Linked DNA regions of Lepisosteus oculatus. Each later gene encodes a partner of the first gene's protein in a complex. Links are inferred from orthologs where the notes say so. Each region holds a gene or a part of one and is shown on either strand. Other genes may lie near its edges.

Region 1 (7,234 bases):
GTGACTGAGGTACTTCAGTAAATACTGTGTAAAAGGGTAAAAGCATAAATTCATTGTACCACACATGCCAAAATTGTCTGTAATTAAATCTTATTAGAAACTCCTCAAACCCATAAAGGTTAGGAGAAGTAAATTGTTATATATTCTGCTTCACTTTTGTTAACTTGGATTTGTACTTGTATTTGGCAAGTACTGGTGCCTACTCGTCTTCTTGGTGCTCAAAGAACTCATGGCAACAGATGGTCACCATGGTGATGAAGGTCATGAATTCCTGGAAGTCACACTCAGAATCGCCATCTGTGTCCAGACTCTCTATTAAACTGTCCATCGTGGCCTGGTCTTTGATTTGCTGAAATAATAAAGAGGAATGCTATATCAACATTATGATCTTGATCTCATTTCAACCCTTTGTCTTGATGACTGCTTTAACCTAATTAATTAAAAAGAAAACTTGGGTGTGTTACAAATTCAATCATTGTAAAGGTATTTCACACTCTTTAAAGGATTACATGTTTTTTTTTTTAATTATACATTGTAATACTGTATTTCTTGTAGCTTATATGTACAGTAAATAATGTAGATTATTTACCCATGGCTTGTATTCATTGTTAGCATTAAAACCTTTCTCATTTTAGTGCCTGTAAGTTATTGTTCCAAGATTTCCTTTAAAATAATGTACAGGATAAAATAGCCTATGGTATAGATGAGATACAGTAGTTAACACTGTGCTGCAATAATATAGAATTATTTTCACTTAAAAACTAAATTTTAATGATTCAACATTTCATTTTATATTTCCTAGTTATAAAATAAAGCAATAATCCTCAGGATATAATTACACAATGTGTTTTTCCACAAGTTCATATAATAATATCAGTTTCCACAAAACATTTTTATATAGGCTGAAAACTGAAATACATTTTTCATTACTAGAAAATAAAAGAAAAAGTATTTCAATTAAATGGTGTATTTCTATATTTTACTGTCCAGACAAACAGATTGTTTTTCAAGAAAACTTTTTATGACTATGGCTTTTGCAAAAACACTTAATAAAAATGTGAAAACAATTATTCTCACCCCCACATAATTTGATAGTTCATTGTTGATCAGTTCTTTCAGTTCACTTTTCTTCAGTTTATGCTTATCGCCTTCTTTTTCTGAATACTTGTGAAATACATCAATAATGGTTGCCAGAGAATTTTCTAAATCAGTCATATTTAAAGCAGGGCCTAAATCTTAAATGAAACAAAAAAAAATAGTTTTACTCCAAAACACATACAATAATGGGATTACAGTGTCCTAAGGTCTTAAATTAACAGAAATGCTGTTCTACAGTACATGTTCATGCAAATTTAGATTTAAATTGTTGACAAAGATGTGAGTTATGCACACAATTAAACAATCTGTTGACTATATTGAATACATGAGCATACTGGACCTTGGTGCTGATGGATTTCAGAAAAACTTTTTTCTCCCTGAAATATCATCTAAATGTGAGCGCTTGGAAGTTCATTTTACACTGTATGTGAGTATAACTTTCTTTTACTTCTACTTCTGATCGTAATTCTTAAAAATCTACTCATGATTTTTCAATCGTGATTAAATTAAATGGTATTTTAATTTACCATTAACCACTATTTCTTCAAATAATCATATATCATGGCACAATTTTATTTAGAAAACTGTTCCCATGAACATTATTACAGATCAGCGTCAGATGCCAAAGATGAAACATCTAGGTTCCAACTTGAGTAAATCCTGCTTTTTTGTAGAGATTCCTTGTTGTGGCTCTCAAAAATATAAAACATATTCTGTGAATTTCTTTTACATTTTACTTAATTTTAATCTATTGAACCGATATTTTAGCCATCTCTCACTGAAACTGAATGATTTTTTGTTGGTCTACTGAGTTTTTCAGTATAGAAAGAAATGCCCATACTGTTGAAAAGGTCATGTAATGTTGAATACTGTTCAATTGAGAAGGTCATGTTCTAGTATGTATTTCAAGAACTGAACTAAATAATATCCTTTAGCTATCCCTATAGATCAAAAGAAACAAACTCACTTAGAATCATTGTCCAGTAAGTGATATGTCAATCATTAATTGTCTGGAAATGATGGCATTTCTTATCTTTAAAAAAGACTGCTCATAGAGTTATGAATGCATTTATCCTTTTAAGTTTGACTTCCTAGCTGTTCAACAAGGCAGGCTTTCTTTTCTGAATTAGAAACTTGAGGAAATTCAACTGTTTGCAGCATACCGGTGTGAATTTATATTTAAAAAAATGACTAAGATTGCAGTACTTTCACATACAGTAGTGAAATCACTGCAGACCACGAGATACACAAGAATAACAAAAAAGTAATAGAAATACACCAGAACAGGGAAGGGGGCATATCATGTGTGAAATAATATATAAAGTATACTGTTTTGTTTGCTTGGTTCATATATTTATATACAGTATAATGTAAAGCATATTTAACATGGTTATATGATATGAAATATTTTTCAAATCTATCCAAAATCCAGAATAGTAAGATTTGAAATATAAATAGCATTAAAGAGAATTATTACTTGAAATCCCAATCTTTTACATAAAATATTTGTTAAAGTTGCTTAAAGCACATTTAATTTTGAAGGTATACTTTTTTACCTGTTCTTTGTCTTCTAACAACAGGTGATAAATATCTACAAAACAAGTCCTACAGAATAGAAGCTTCCTGAATGTAGTATCGTTATATTTAATTAAACTAATTAAGGTAAACCTAGAAACCTATCTATATAAATCTAAAAGCTAAAGTGAAAAGTAAAATTAACGTGTGAGACAAATTAGGAAGAAAAGTTGCCTTTCAACTTATTTTCAGCATGACTTTGTTACTTTTTATTTTTTAAGTAAACCATCTGCAAAAAACAATCTTAGACAAAAAATCACTTACCTCCTTGTAGATGATTTGAAAAGTTTAAGAAACTAAATTCCAAAACAGAAGTAGTGTCTTTTTATACGCTGGGCGTGGAGAGTTGCCATAGCAACTGTAGCCCTTTTGCCTCATTTTGAATCATGTGGCTCGTCTGAAACAATCACCCTTTATTCTGCCATGGGACAGTGACAAAAATTTACCATTTTGATCTTTTGCATTGTAGTTATCATTAAAGGGTTTTTGTTTCTTCCTTTCTGTTTTATAAGGCACAGTACTGAACTCATTGTCTGGTTAATTAATGCCTTGTGATGGTAATATAACGTATTTAATCAGGAACAACTTGAACAGATTATTTTCAAGAAGGAAATTTCAGTAATCTTGAACCTCCTATATTGAACCTACTTTGTGTATCTTACAGTAAATATATAATGATTATTTAATATGATAATATTATCATATAGAGTGTACTGTAAATAAGCTTCAAATGCATTTCAATTACTATCAGCTCTTAAAGAGAATTACATTTTAATTGCAAATAAATAGTATGACACAGGTACTGTATATGCATATGTTCATACAGTAACAGTGTTATAATAGTATCAAGATTATATTTATATTATATTAATTATATTAGGACATTTCTGGATCATTTTCAAAGTTAAAGTTTAAAAATAATATTTTAGGGTACAGTATGTATTATTAAATGATACTAGCTTCTGTAATGGCAAAGTGGATTACACTATTTTGGGAAAAGTAAATAACTTAGTCAAAAGATACAAAAACATTAATGTTTAAAGTGCTTCTCTTATTATTATTATTGATCATGTTGCTAAATCAGTAGAAGAAATTTGGAAACCACATGATTTTCGAAGGAAACTGAGAAAACCTGAATTAAAAAAGGATAATTACAAACATTAGAGTACAGATATTGACCCGAAAAAGAAATGAAATTGAAATGAAATGAAAGTCTAATGCATCCAAATATAGATATCAAATCAAAGAGCAGAAAACACATCAAATGAACATAAGAAACATGGCACATGGGGCCCTGTAAAAAACAATATAGAAAAGTTACAAAAGAGTGGAGGCCTTTTAGCCTATCTGGCCTGCTTGTCGTTTGTCTGCTTGATCAGAGGATTTCATCCATCCAGTTTGTAAAAGAAGACAAGTTATCACCTGCAACAATATTCTGGGGTAGATTGTTCCAGACATCCACATACTGTACGTTTCTCCTGTTCTCAGGATTATATGTTTTTAAATGTACTTCCCTTTAGTTTCCATTTTTATCCACTGGTTCATAACTCATTGTTGAAGTCCCCTGAGGTTAATTTCTCGGTATCTTTTAGGAGTTTGACTACTATGAATTATTAAGAAAGGTTACAAACGATTACCACTTGCCTCGTTTGGTAGAAGCTAATTGATCCAATGATTCCAGCCATTTTTTGAAAGAACCCAGGGTGGCTTCTGGTAACTGGCCGGGTAGCTTGTTTCATACCTCCACAACCCTTTGGGTAAAGAAGTGCCCCTTGTTATGGATTTCAAATACATGTTTTAAAAAGAATTATTTTTAGTTTCACAGTCATCTCTGATCAGGACTAAAACGATTTTCAGATTCGAATTTCTGATTGTCAGGGAAAACATTTAAAGCTCGGAATGTTTCTCACTCACCCTTTTTTCATTTTTCAACATCTTTTTTGTAACATGGTGACTAAAATTCTGCATAATATTCTAAATGAGGTGATATTACAAAATTAATGTTGGCTATGACCACCTTTATCATCGGCATAATTTTGTCAATCCTGGACCTGGGATGCCATCTGCATGGAGTTTGACACATGGATGTCTCTAGTTTGTGGGATTGTGATGTAGCAGACCCAACCCTGATGTAAGGAACTGATGCATTAAAATATTACATAATTATTTCTCACCTTGTTTTATAATGAATATTGTGGATATTATCATATGAAGTAATGTACATATTGTTCTGTAAAATCTAAAAGGTAAATGTTCACTTACCTGATGGGGTTATAAAGATGGCAGTGGAAGTTTATTGTGATTTGTGCTTTAACGAAGGCAATTAGGGTGGCATGTTAATTGGCTTCTGGGAAAATTGAGTGTATCTGTGTATCTTCCCTATTTTACACTGGCATCCCAGCCTTGTGTTCACTGCTTGCTGAAGATCCCCCATGACCCTGAATTGGATGAAATGGTTAGAAAATGGATGGATGGATAACGAAATTGAAAACGTTTCCTTTTTACAGTAGTTTGTTAATGAAAATGAGCACATTTGCTCTGTGAAATGCATTGCCTCTAAGCAAAAAAAAATTGCACATTCATTTGTGAAAAAAACAGTATATTCTTAATAATTGTAATTGGGTTTGAAAGAATAAGCCTAACAAACAACTGAAGTTTATGGTGTTCTCATCCAGATGTAATGCCACTTTGGTGAACAGCAGTTACAGTACCTTAACATTAGCCATTAGGTACAGTATCTACACATTATCTTCTGGTTCCATCTGGTTCTTCAAGCAGAAACATGTAGTATACCTACCTACAGAAACATAACAGTTACCTGTTAACACCACCACTTCTCCACTTCTGCCAGCAGCCATATCACTCTGCAACTCACAACTAGCAACCCACTGAACCCGCTAAGCATGTATGAGCCTGGTCAGTACCTGGATGGGGGACCTCCTGGGAAAAACTAAGTTTGCTACTGGAAGAGGTGTTAGTGGGGCCAGCAGGGGGTGCTCACCTTGTGGTCTATGTGGGCCCTAATGCCCCAGTATAGTGATGGGGACATTATACTGTAAACAGGTGCTGTCATTTGGATGAGATGTAAAACCGAGGTCTCTGTGGTCATTAAAAATCCCAGGGTGTTTCTCAAAAAGAGTAGTGGTGTAACCCTGGCGTCCTGGCCAAATTTCCCATTGGCCCTTACCAATCATGACCTCCTAATAATTCCCATCTATGAATTGGCTTCATTATTCTGCTCTCCTCCCCACTGATAGCTGGTGTGTGGTGAGCGTTCTGGCCATTGCATCATCCAGGTGGATGCTGCATATTGGTGGAGGGAAGTCCCCATTATCTGTAAAGTGCTTTGAGTGGAGTGTCCAGAAAAGTGCTATATAAGTGTAAGCAATTATTATTATTATTATTATTATTATTACTTCTTGTTCCACAACCATTGATGTTATCAAAGTCACAAATGATGGCAATTTTCTCTTGACTATCAACATTACCCCTGCACATTAGCTCGACTTGATGTATAGCTTCTTCGCAAGCCACAGTTATTCTGCTAATGCACAAGTTATTTATTCCTGGAATTTTTTATGCTGCAGCTACAATTATTATGCAGATGTATGGCAAGGTCCTGGACTGTTGTGATCACCTTCAGCTTTCCAGGACATTGTCTGTTCTTCCTGGACTTCCATCGTTTCAGTTGATTCCTGAAACATAACATTTCAATCTCTAGGCAACTTTTACACACAAGCAGTCTTCAATCATGCCAATAGTAACAGGTGATCTTCACATACAAGTGAGACATGGTGGAGCAAGCTGAACTTCAGTGTATAAATAAATGATGGATGTTGCACACAATGTGTAAATGACTGAAAAATTGCAGCATAATATTTAATGCAAAGTTGTTTCTGTCATGTGCCCTCAGATATGTCTTAATTTAATATTTTTTGCATGGATCTTTGTTTACTTTGACTTCCATTTTCCCATTTATTTCCAATTTGCTTTTTCAGAATTTATGGTGGATTTTATAGCAACAAAGTAAAGTATATGTACAGTACTTGCAACCATAGTACTGTATATGTTTTGATATTTCATACTTACCAACCCCCTTCTAATTTGTTCCCTTGATTGTTAAATGGAACCTTTAGTTATGTTCTATATGTGCGTGGGATGAATATGATATTACTCATTCTTCTTCATTAACCCTGGTCTCTGACATCTCCCTGTTCTTACGTTCTGTAAATAGATAAGCATTTCCTCATTATAAATTTACTGAAAGCATGGATAAGATAGGTGTCCCAGAAGTACATCTTAGCCCTAATCCTTGTTTTATCTAAGTAGATGTGTGCAATTGTAGGCTAATTAAGCAACTGATCAACAGCTGAGATACTGTATGCTAGGTTTTGCTGAGGACCTTTTCTCTTAGAATTATGCCAAAGCCTTTAGCAATCACTTTCTCCCACAATGATACAGTATACCACATATGACAATAGGCCAATTATTGATGAGGAATGACAGAACAACATTTTTCTTACTGCAAAAAATGTGCATGGCAAATTATAAACTATTTAAC
Region 2 (7,565 bases), on another chromosome or scaffold:
AGCCATAAAAACTTTAGATTTTGATCCTATAAATTACACAAGGCATCATAATATGCTGGACATTTCAAGTTGTTTACATGGCAAAGAATATGAACAGCAAAAGGAATACAAGATGCAGTAATTATATCTGCTAAGGGAATTATGTTTACAATACAAAACACTACAAGAACAAATGCATAATTAATCATAAAAAGGTCTTAAGCTAATCTTTCATATTAACAAACTTTGCCGGTTGTATGGTGATAATCCATTCTACAGTTTCATCATTTTCTGTTTGAATTATTAAGCATCAATTTCTGAGAGCAACAATGCAAGTAAAATATTGTTAATAAACTGAAAGACCAATTCATTTTTGTCTAAAGCAGCAGATAGCGCTCACCAAAATGAGTCCAGAAATGAGTGATGAGGTTCCAGTAAGCGCAACATAGAACTTGGGGGTAAGAGTGTTCAGGAACACAGACACTGGAAAGAAAAAGGCTGATTAGCAAGGTGTTCACCTTAAACTGCAGGCATTTCAGTGCTTAACATTCCCACTCTACTGGATTTTTGTTCTGTTTTCACCCAAGACCAGTATATTCAGGAGGTACTTTCTGCAGAAAGACTAATATCACATGATGTACTTTCTTCTCTTTATTTTTAGTTATGAGGTCAGTACAGAAATGTACAAGGGAAAGGGTGATTTAGGGAAAACGACAAGACTCCCACTGAGGAGGAGCTTGAAACATTTCAAGTTTACGGGTTAACGACTTTCATAAAGGCATCATAGTATGCTGGATATTTATAAATAAATAAAAAAAACATACATATATAATAATATAAAACTATTCTACTTTATACGTTCATCAGTGCATTTGTATAAGTACCTTCTGTAGATCCTTAGATGTAATCCTGTAGTTCTTTTTAACAGATACATACCACAATGCCTTCTGGTACCAAGGTATAGTGATAGCTCTAATGTGTACTAGGACTTTCTATTCCATTATATAGGCCAACTTTTAAAGTATTCTGTACCAAAATCTTATATTTTGTCCTCTACAAATCATACAGGCATGAATTTAAGATTGGCTTATACAAAAGATTGATTTGTTTTTATTTCACTCAATGAAATTAAATTTGGATCAAAGATTATTATTTATTTTTATGATAGATCATAATGTAAGGACCAATCCAAATGCAATATCTCTGTGCAATTCTGTAGCTTTTAAATATCTTGTTTGACATACTGTTCATAGCTATGAAGCAGTGTGGTAGATGAGTACAAGTGTGTTAGGAGTGATACGAGTTACACACTGATGAAGAAAAAGGTTTACATGGACACTTTTTGTGCATCACACACTAATACACACAACAAATGACGTTTTCAAGAGGTGTCATACTGAGAATACTTTAAGATAGTTCTATCCCTATTTGCAAGTTAGTATGTTAGAAATATGATGACCATTTGTATATAATGGGCTAGTTAGTTGGGTTACGTGTTTACAATAGAATGAATTAACGTGAGAATGGCGCTTACTGTCTTTTTCACTTTACGAAAAGTAGAAAAGGCCTGGAAAAGCAACGATTTCCGATGTAGAGGAACATCGGTCGAACTGTCATAAGGCAGTGTGTCCATAAGGGAGTACAGACCGGTACCAAAATCTCCTTTCATGCAAACGTGAAGTTGACAGTCAGACATAAACACCTCTCCGTACTGGGGCTGCTTAAAGGACGCAGAAATACAGTTGCACACTCCACCCGGATCGTATAAAAGTAACTGTTTGCAAATTTCCCTCGGCTCGAACTGAAACCTGTCAGTTCCAGATAGCTCCCCTTATCATCTGATTCAACAGTTTTTACCTGTAGCGAGGTTTTCCTGTAGCTTCAGGGGGCTCCGGAGAATGTAGACTAGAGCCAACAGCATAGCAAACCAAAGGACCCATAAATAAGTCCAAGACCACGAGAGCCAGGATTTTAATTTCTCCGTAAATCCGGGAGACGATGAGCTACTGTTGTTTGCATCCGCCATGTTTACCCAGAAAAAATATAAACACAGGAACTATGGGATAGTGGAGGACTGTCCTCTGCAGTACTGTTAGCTGATAAGAATTGCTACAGCCAATGTGTGGAGTCACTAAAGCGTCATATATTTATTTAATTTTAAATGGTGAACGTCAGGCGTTTGCAGCTGTGGGCCTAGAGACGCCTGGGAGGCGTTTTCACCTCTTTTTAATTTACAGTGCCCCTTATTTTAGATTTAAGCATTTATAGAAAATAAATATTTATCTTGGATGAGAAACCATAATGTATGTTACTGTCCCAGTATATTCTCTGTCCAGCCTGGTTTTGTTCCCAACAATAATGCTGATTGTACTAATGATACAAAATATTGCACATTTATTATCATAACTATATAAAATAAAATAAACTGGTTTTAATGTTTATGATGTAAACGTTAAAAGATTTAATTTTATGGCTCTGAAGACAGTTCAGATGAGATATGGCAGAAATAGTATTTACATTTAACTGGATTGCTAATATTCAAAATAAATGACCTTAACATTTTGGTTTAATTTTGATCAAATGAAAAGGGACACTTACTTAGGATTTAAAATGTATTTGAAAGTGTCCTTCAAATGTTTTGCGTTTTACAAATAGTGAGATGTTGGCTTTCTTGGGCTGATGGCATATTATAGATATGAGTGATAGTCATCTCCCTTCAATCATTCAATTACCAAATACCATTAAACATTTGAAAAACATTTTCAATGTATGCCTACTTATACAACCATACTTATACAACCATAAAAAGCTAACAAGATTAAACTGGCAAAAGAGGAGAATTCTATAGTACATATCTGGATTTTTGAATACAATTATTTGTGTCTGTGATGGTGTTTATTGGGGAGCGGGGGAGGGAAGTCATCAATGTAACAGTCTGTAGGTAAATAGCCATTTTCATGTATAAGTAACTTTTAAGGACACCTATAAGTTATAGCATAATCCACTATACATCATAGTTGTCCACTTAAGATTTGTGCAGAATAGTATGTCGGTAGGGTGGCAGTGCTTGGCACTGGGGCCCTGGGTTTAATTCTGGACCTAGATTGCTGCCTGTACGTGTTCATGTGGATTTCTTCCAGGTGCTCCACAATCCAAAACCATACTGACAGGCTTATCGGCTTCTGGGGAAAACCCCAGAGTTTGCCATGTCTTTGCATACCATGGCTTGTGCTCGTTGCTTGCTGGACCAGATTCCGACTCCCCTGAGAACCCTGAAAATGAATGGATGTACGTTAGTACATTTAGCCTAAATTTGAACTAATTTCATTTCCTTCATATTTTCAATCTTAAAGGATTGCAAAGCGCTTTACATAAGAACACACTTCATCCGCCGGTGTGACATATAGGCCATCATATCTGGGCAGTCCCACTACACAGGAGACTGCGTCACCACCTGAAAATGTCAGGTAGGCTAGACTGGCCCCAGAGTGGAGTATAGCCTTCAAACCAGGTTTAACAGCCCTACACTTTCAAACATGGATCTTACAATGATGAAGCCATCATCCCCTGTTTAATTTCTCATCTAAAGAGTGACTCCTTCTCCAGCACAGTATACTCTGGCATCACCATCAATCACCACTCATCCTGTTCAGGATCTGAGGTTGGACTGGAGCCTATCCTGAGGAGCACTGGACTCCTGGCGGAATACACCATGAACAGGGCACACATAGACATGGGCATGCACATATAATCACACCAGGGTCAGTTTTACACAAGTCAATTAACCTACAGTACCAGCCGGTCCTTGGAGGAAACTATACTGAAGCATTGGTTTGGAATTTATGGACCAGGGGAAAGGGTGACACCTACTGGTTGACCAAAGCCACTTAAAGGCGCATCTCAGCTTTCCTTAGAGGTCTCCCATTGCACCTTGTTTAAGCTCTTGAATCTCTGGCCTTCTTTCAGTTCCCAATACAAGACTCCAAAAACTGGGAGACTGGGAGTTCTGTTCTGTTGCTCCAAGGCTGTGGATGACCTCCTATCCAATCTTGCATGCAAGTCAACACTTTGAAATCCTGTCATAAAACCCACTTTCATACTCCAGTTTTTAATATTGTCACAACTTCTGCACACCTGTCTCTTTTGTTTGATTATTTTATTATATAACTCTTGAGATTGTGCCATTAAAGATGTTATATAAAATAAAGTTATTAAAATAATTATTTGCTAAAAGCTTCATTGATCTATAAAATTGAAAATGATTTAAAAAATGCAAAACACAGAGGAAGAGAATTGTCAGTTAATACACCAATAAAACACAAACACCTAAATATAAAACATACAGTACAAAGATGATTAGTAAACTCTGAAAGCACTGTACAAGTTAACACCTGAAACAAATGTATTACTATACCAAAAATTACGACGATAAATTAAAGTGAAAAGGTGTAAATATTAAGCGTCAATTTCAGACTTTTAAGATGTATTAATCGGCAGAATGACCAATAGTCGGCAGTAGCACCCCCCTTTTTACCTTTTTGATGTGTTTGAAGAGGCCATATTTAAAAATAATAAGACTGCAGACGGCTTGTGTGTTTCCCATGATGCAGCGCATACTGGGGCTGGTCCAGAGGAGCCAAGATGGCCGACTTTGAGGAGCAGCTTACTGATGAGGAGAAGGTAGGGAGCTGGTTTTAAATGTTTTTAATTTAATTGTGGGCAACCATTTTGCAGATTACGTTTTTTGGAGACGTAAAAAGCCCCAGAGTCGATTCTCCCAACATCTCCGCGCACTTCCTACTTTTTTCAACCATGCAAAATTGTGTTTTCAGCTGCTCCGCTGCATGATCATTTAAAATGATTCATTATTTAAAAAAATAATAATCTTGAGGTTTTATAAAATGTGAGACAGGTTTGTACCCACTTCACTGTGTTATATTTTACATGTCGTTGCAGTCTTCTTAGATTAGGCTAAAAGTGTGGTTTAACTGTACTTGACAGGAATGAAGCCAAGTTAGTTCCGTCTTTGAATCCGGATTATGGAGAACAGTATCTAATATATTTTGTAAAATGTCCTATGCTCGGGCGATCGCGTTGTTTCAGGAACACTGTGGTATGCCTTTTCATAGTCAACAGCTATTGGCGAACTTGTATATTTGAGTTCCTCGTTAGGGCCTGTTTTGGTGTTAAGTAGCTGGTAAATCAGGTTAGATTTTGCAAACGACTTCCTGTTTCAAAGAGGTCCCCCTCCCTAGTGCCAAGTAACTGGGTTGATATCGATACTGTATATTTAAAAAAAAAATTGTCGACTCTTTTCTCTCTCTCTCGATTTGTTTTAGTCATTGCTTTGAATATTCTTATCAAATGAAGCCGCCTATTGCGCAAAAGTAATCAAATTGGAATATTCAAATAAGACTGAAAACAAAGACAAACTTACTGTCGAGACCCAATTGTCAGTTTTGCGTACCAAAACAGGTAGGTGGTATTTCGATTCTAGATGGGGAAACGTGCTGTAAAACGTAGCAATCTAGTTTGCATGGACAGACATAGCTCTTCCAAAATAAAATCTTCCCGTATAACACCTGAACTAAGTGGTAGCTGGTAATTGAGTTGACGCCACGAAAACCGTAAATGAGTTCTACTTTGTAACTGACATACTGTATTTGAGAGGTGTGCAATTATGCGCTATGCTGCCAAATTAGTGAATACTTGGGGATTTTTATGTTTATAAAATATTAGTTGTGAAGTGCTGAGCGCAGTCTGTGGTGCACAGAAAATGGGACAGTACCTTCACCTTTAGAAATGTATAATTCTAAGGACAGCCACAGACACTCCCTTATTTGTAAGCTGTATTGATGTCTTCAAACGTGGACTGCGCTGTGCTTAGTTAGAAATGGGGTTAGTTCCCCTTGAGAGCAGTTTTGGTTGCGTATTGGGAATAACGGAAAGCGAGTTAAATATTACTTGTGAAACGAAAATGTATGGAGTCACTTCTCACAGGTGGTTCTTAAGAGATTTTAATCAAAGGGAAACGGCTACCGCTGCGATTTTTAAAAACTGGCTTGCATTGCGAAAGAGCGCTGTGCGCAAGCTTTGCGACCAGTGCTGTGGGTTAGGGAGTATCTCTGTTGCTCGAACTGGCGCTGTCATGGAGTTCCCTTCTTGCTTGTCAGTTCGATCTCGTCTTGAAACCCGAATCTGGCGAGGGTGTGGTAGTTCCTTAAGTTTGCTGAAGTATTGCTGACAGCGAAACTTTCCTAAACGCAAACTCTTAGCTCCGGGCTCTGCTATTAACGGAGCCTTAGTCTAAAGGGGAAGGCGAGGTTATGTTGCGCTCTTATCCGGTACTGAAGAGTGCGATTTATCGGACCTGCAGGAGAGCAGCAGCAACGCTCTTCAGAAACTGCTGAGACTCGTGTATTTGACACGAAAAGTTCAGGTTTTGCCTATAGGTCTGTGTTCTTTACTGAAGACTTTTCTCAATGCAGCCTCTTGTTTAGATATCTCCTGTTCGTGCAAGTGGGGGAACTCACAATCTTGATTTTTAGGGTGTTTTGGATTTGTGTTGTGGAAGAAAGAATTCCGTCTTCACACAGGGGTGGTGCAGTGGGGTTAAAGTTATTAGTTCAGTTCCCTTGTGGCGCTGACAAGTGTAGAAATGTGAAAGTGCAGTTGACGAATTGTTCTGCAGTGAGATCAGGAAAGCATACATGGAGAAATGAAATAATCAATTTAGTTTAACTAATGTAAAGCATGCAAAATTGTCCTGTTACTGTAATCTCCAGATGTTGTTTTTCCCCAAATAAGGCTCACACCCCCAGCCTTACCAGTGCCATGATTTTGACTAAACCACCTGGTCATCTGTAGTAAAGTGTGTGCACGTCTTTATTTCCTGTAACTGGCCTTACAATGTATAATAAGTCTGAGAGTGTGATGTTGCTTGTCTGGGTTCTTGTGCGCAATCAGAGATCTTGGAGAGATCAGAGGGGATTCTGGGAGAGCAGGCTTTTGGCATGACCTTTCAGGTGCTACTAACTGTGCCAAACACCATAGTCCCAGTCCAACCTCAGATGCAACATATATGTTGCATGAAAGCAAGTTTAGATTAATAAATATATGTTGTCATGCTAGTATGCTATATAATATAATCTGCTTGTGAGAAATACAGAATTAGTTGCTGGCCAGATCACTGACATGCACTGGTAGAGGAGGGGGACTTCGGAGGGAGAGAGCCTTACCGGAAGTGAATTAATTTCAGTTTCTTTAAACAAATAAGGTAAGCAATCAATATCTGAAGTGCAATAAAATCTGGAGTCTGTGGCCCTCAATGAATGGGTGAGAATTTCACATCCATTATCTAGAAGCAGCCACTCAAGCACATTCATCCCAGTGTTGGAAGCCCTATTTATCTCCTTGATATGACGTTTTTGTCCCCGAAGCTCAGATGACAGTGCAGTGATGAAAAATGCCACTGTCTGCTGTACAAGACACCATATTACAAACCCTGATCAGGAAAGCAAAAGATCTGTTCTGACGTGACTTTAGTCTCAAATCTGTCTTAACCTGGAAGCCAAAGATAAAATATT

The links. The genes of interacting proteins can lie anywhere in the genome.
Region 2: the proteins of s100b (region 1) and F-actin-capping protein subunit alpha-1 are in contact, whole or in part, in an NMR structure (PDB 1MQ1), measured with the Homo sapiens proteins. The link is inferred for Lepisosteus oculatus from reciprocal best matches to the Homo sapiens genes S100B and CAPZA1. Residues at the interface, in NP_006263.1 of Homo sapiens: Glu46, Glu47, Lys49, Val53, Lys56, Val57, Thr60, Phe77, Met80, Val81, Ala84, Cys85, Glu87; in NP_006126.1 of Homo sapiens: Thr265, Arg266, Ile269, Asp270, Trp271, Asn272, Lys273, Ile274, Leu275.

Annotation. Positions count from the first base shown.
Region 1 is NC_090707.1:31,131,589-31,138,822, forward strand, and holds the start of s100b (protein S100-B), read right to left. Parts: upstream 3,023-7,234; 5' UTR 2,938-3,022; intron 1,236-2,937; 5' UTR 1,216-1,235; coding exon 1,078-1,215; intron 350-1,077; coding exon 200-349; 3' UTR 1-199. UniProt on the Homo sapiens protein: Small zinc- and- and calcium-binding protein that is highly expressed in astrocytes and constitutes one of the most abundant soluble proteins in brain.
Region 2 is NC_090700.1:31,502,367-31,509,931, reverse strand, and holds the start of F-actin-capping protein subunit alpha-1, read left to right. Parts: upstream 1-4,562; 5' UTR 4,563-4,620; coding exon 4,621-4,659; intron 4,660-7,565. Other genes in the region: st7l (suppressor of tumorigenicity 7 protein-like), read right to left, coding at 380-462, 1,837-2,005. UniProt on the Homo sapiens protein: F-actin-capping proteins bind in a Ca(2+)-independent manner to the fast growing ends of actin filaments (barbed end) thereby blocking the exchange of subunits at these ends.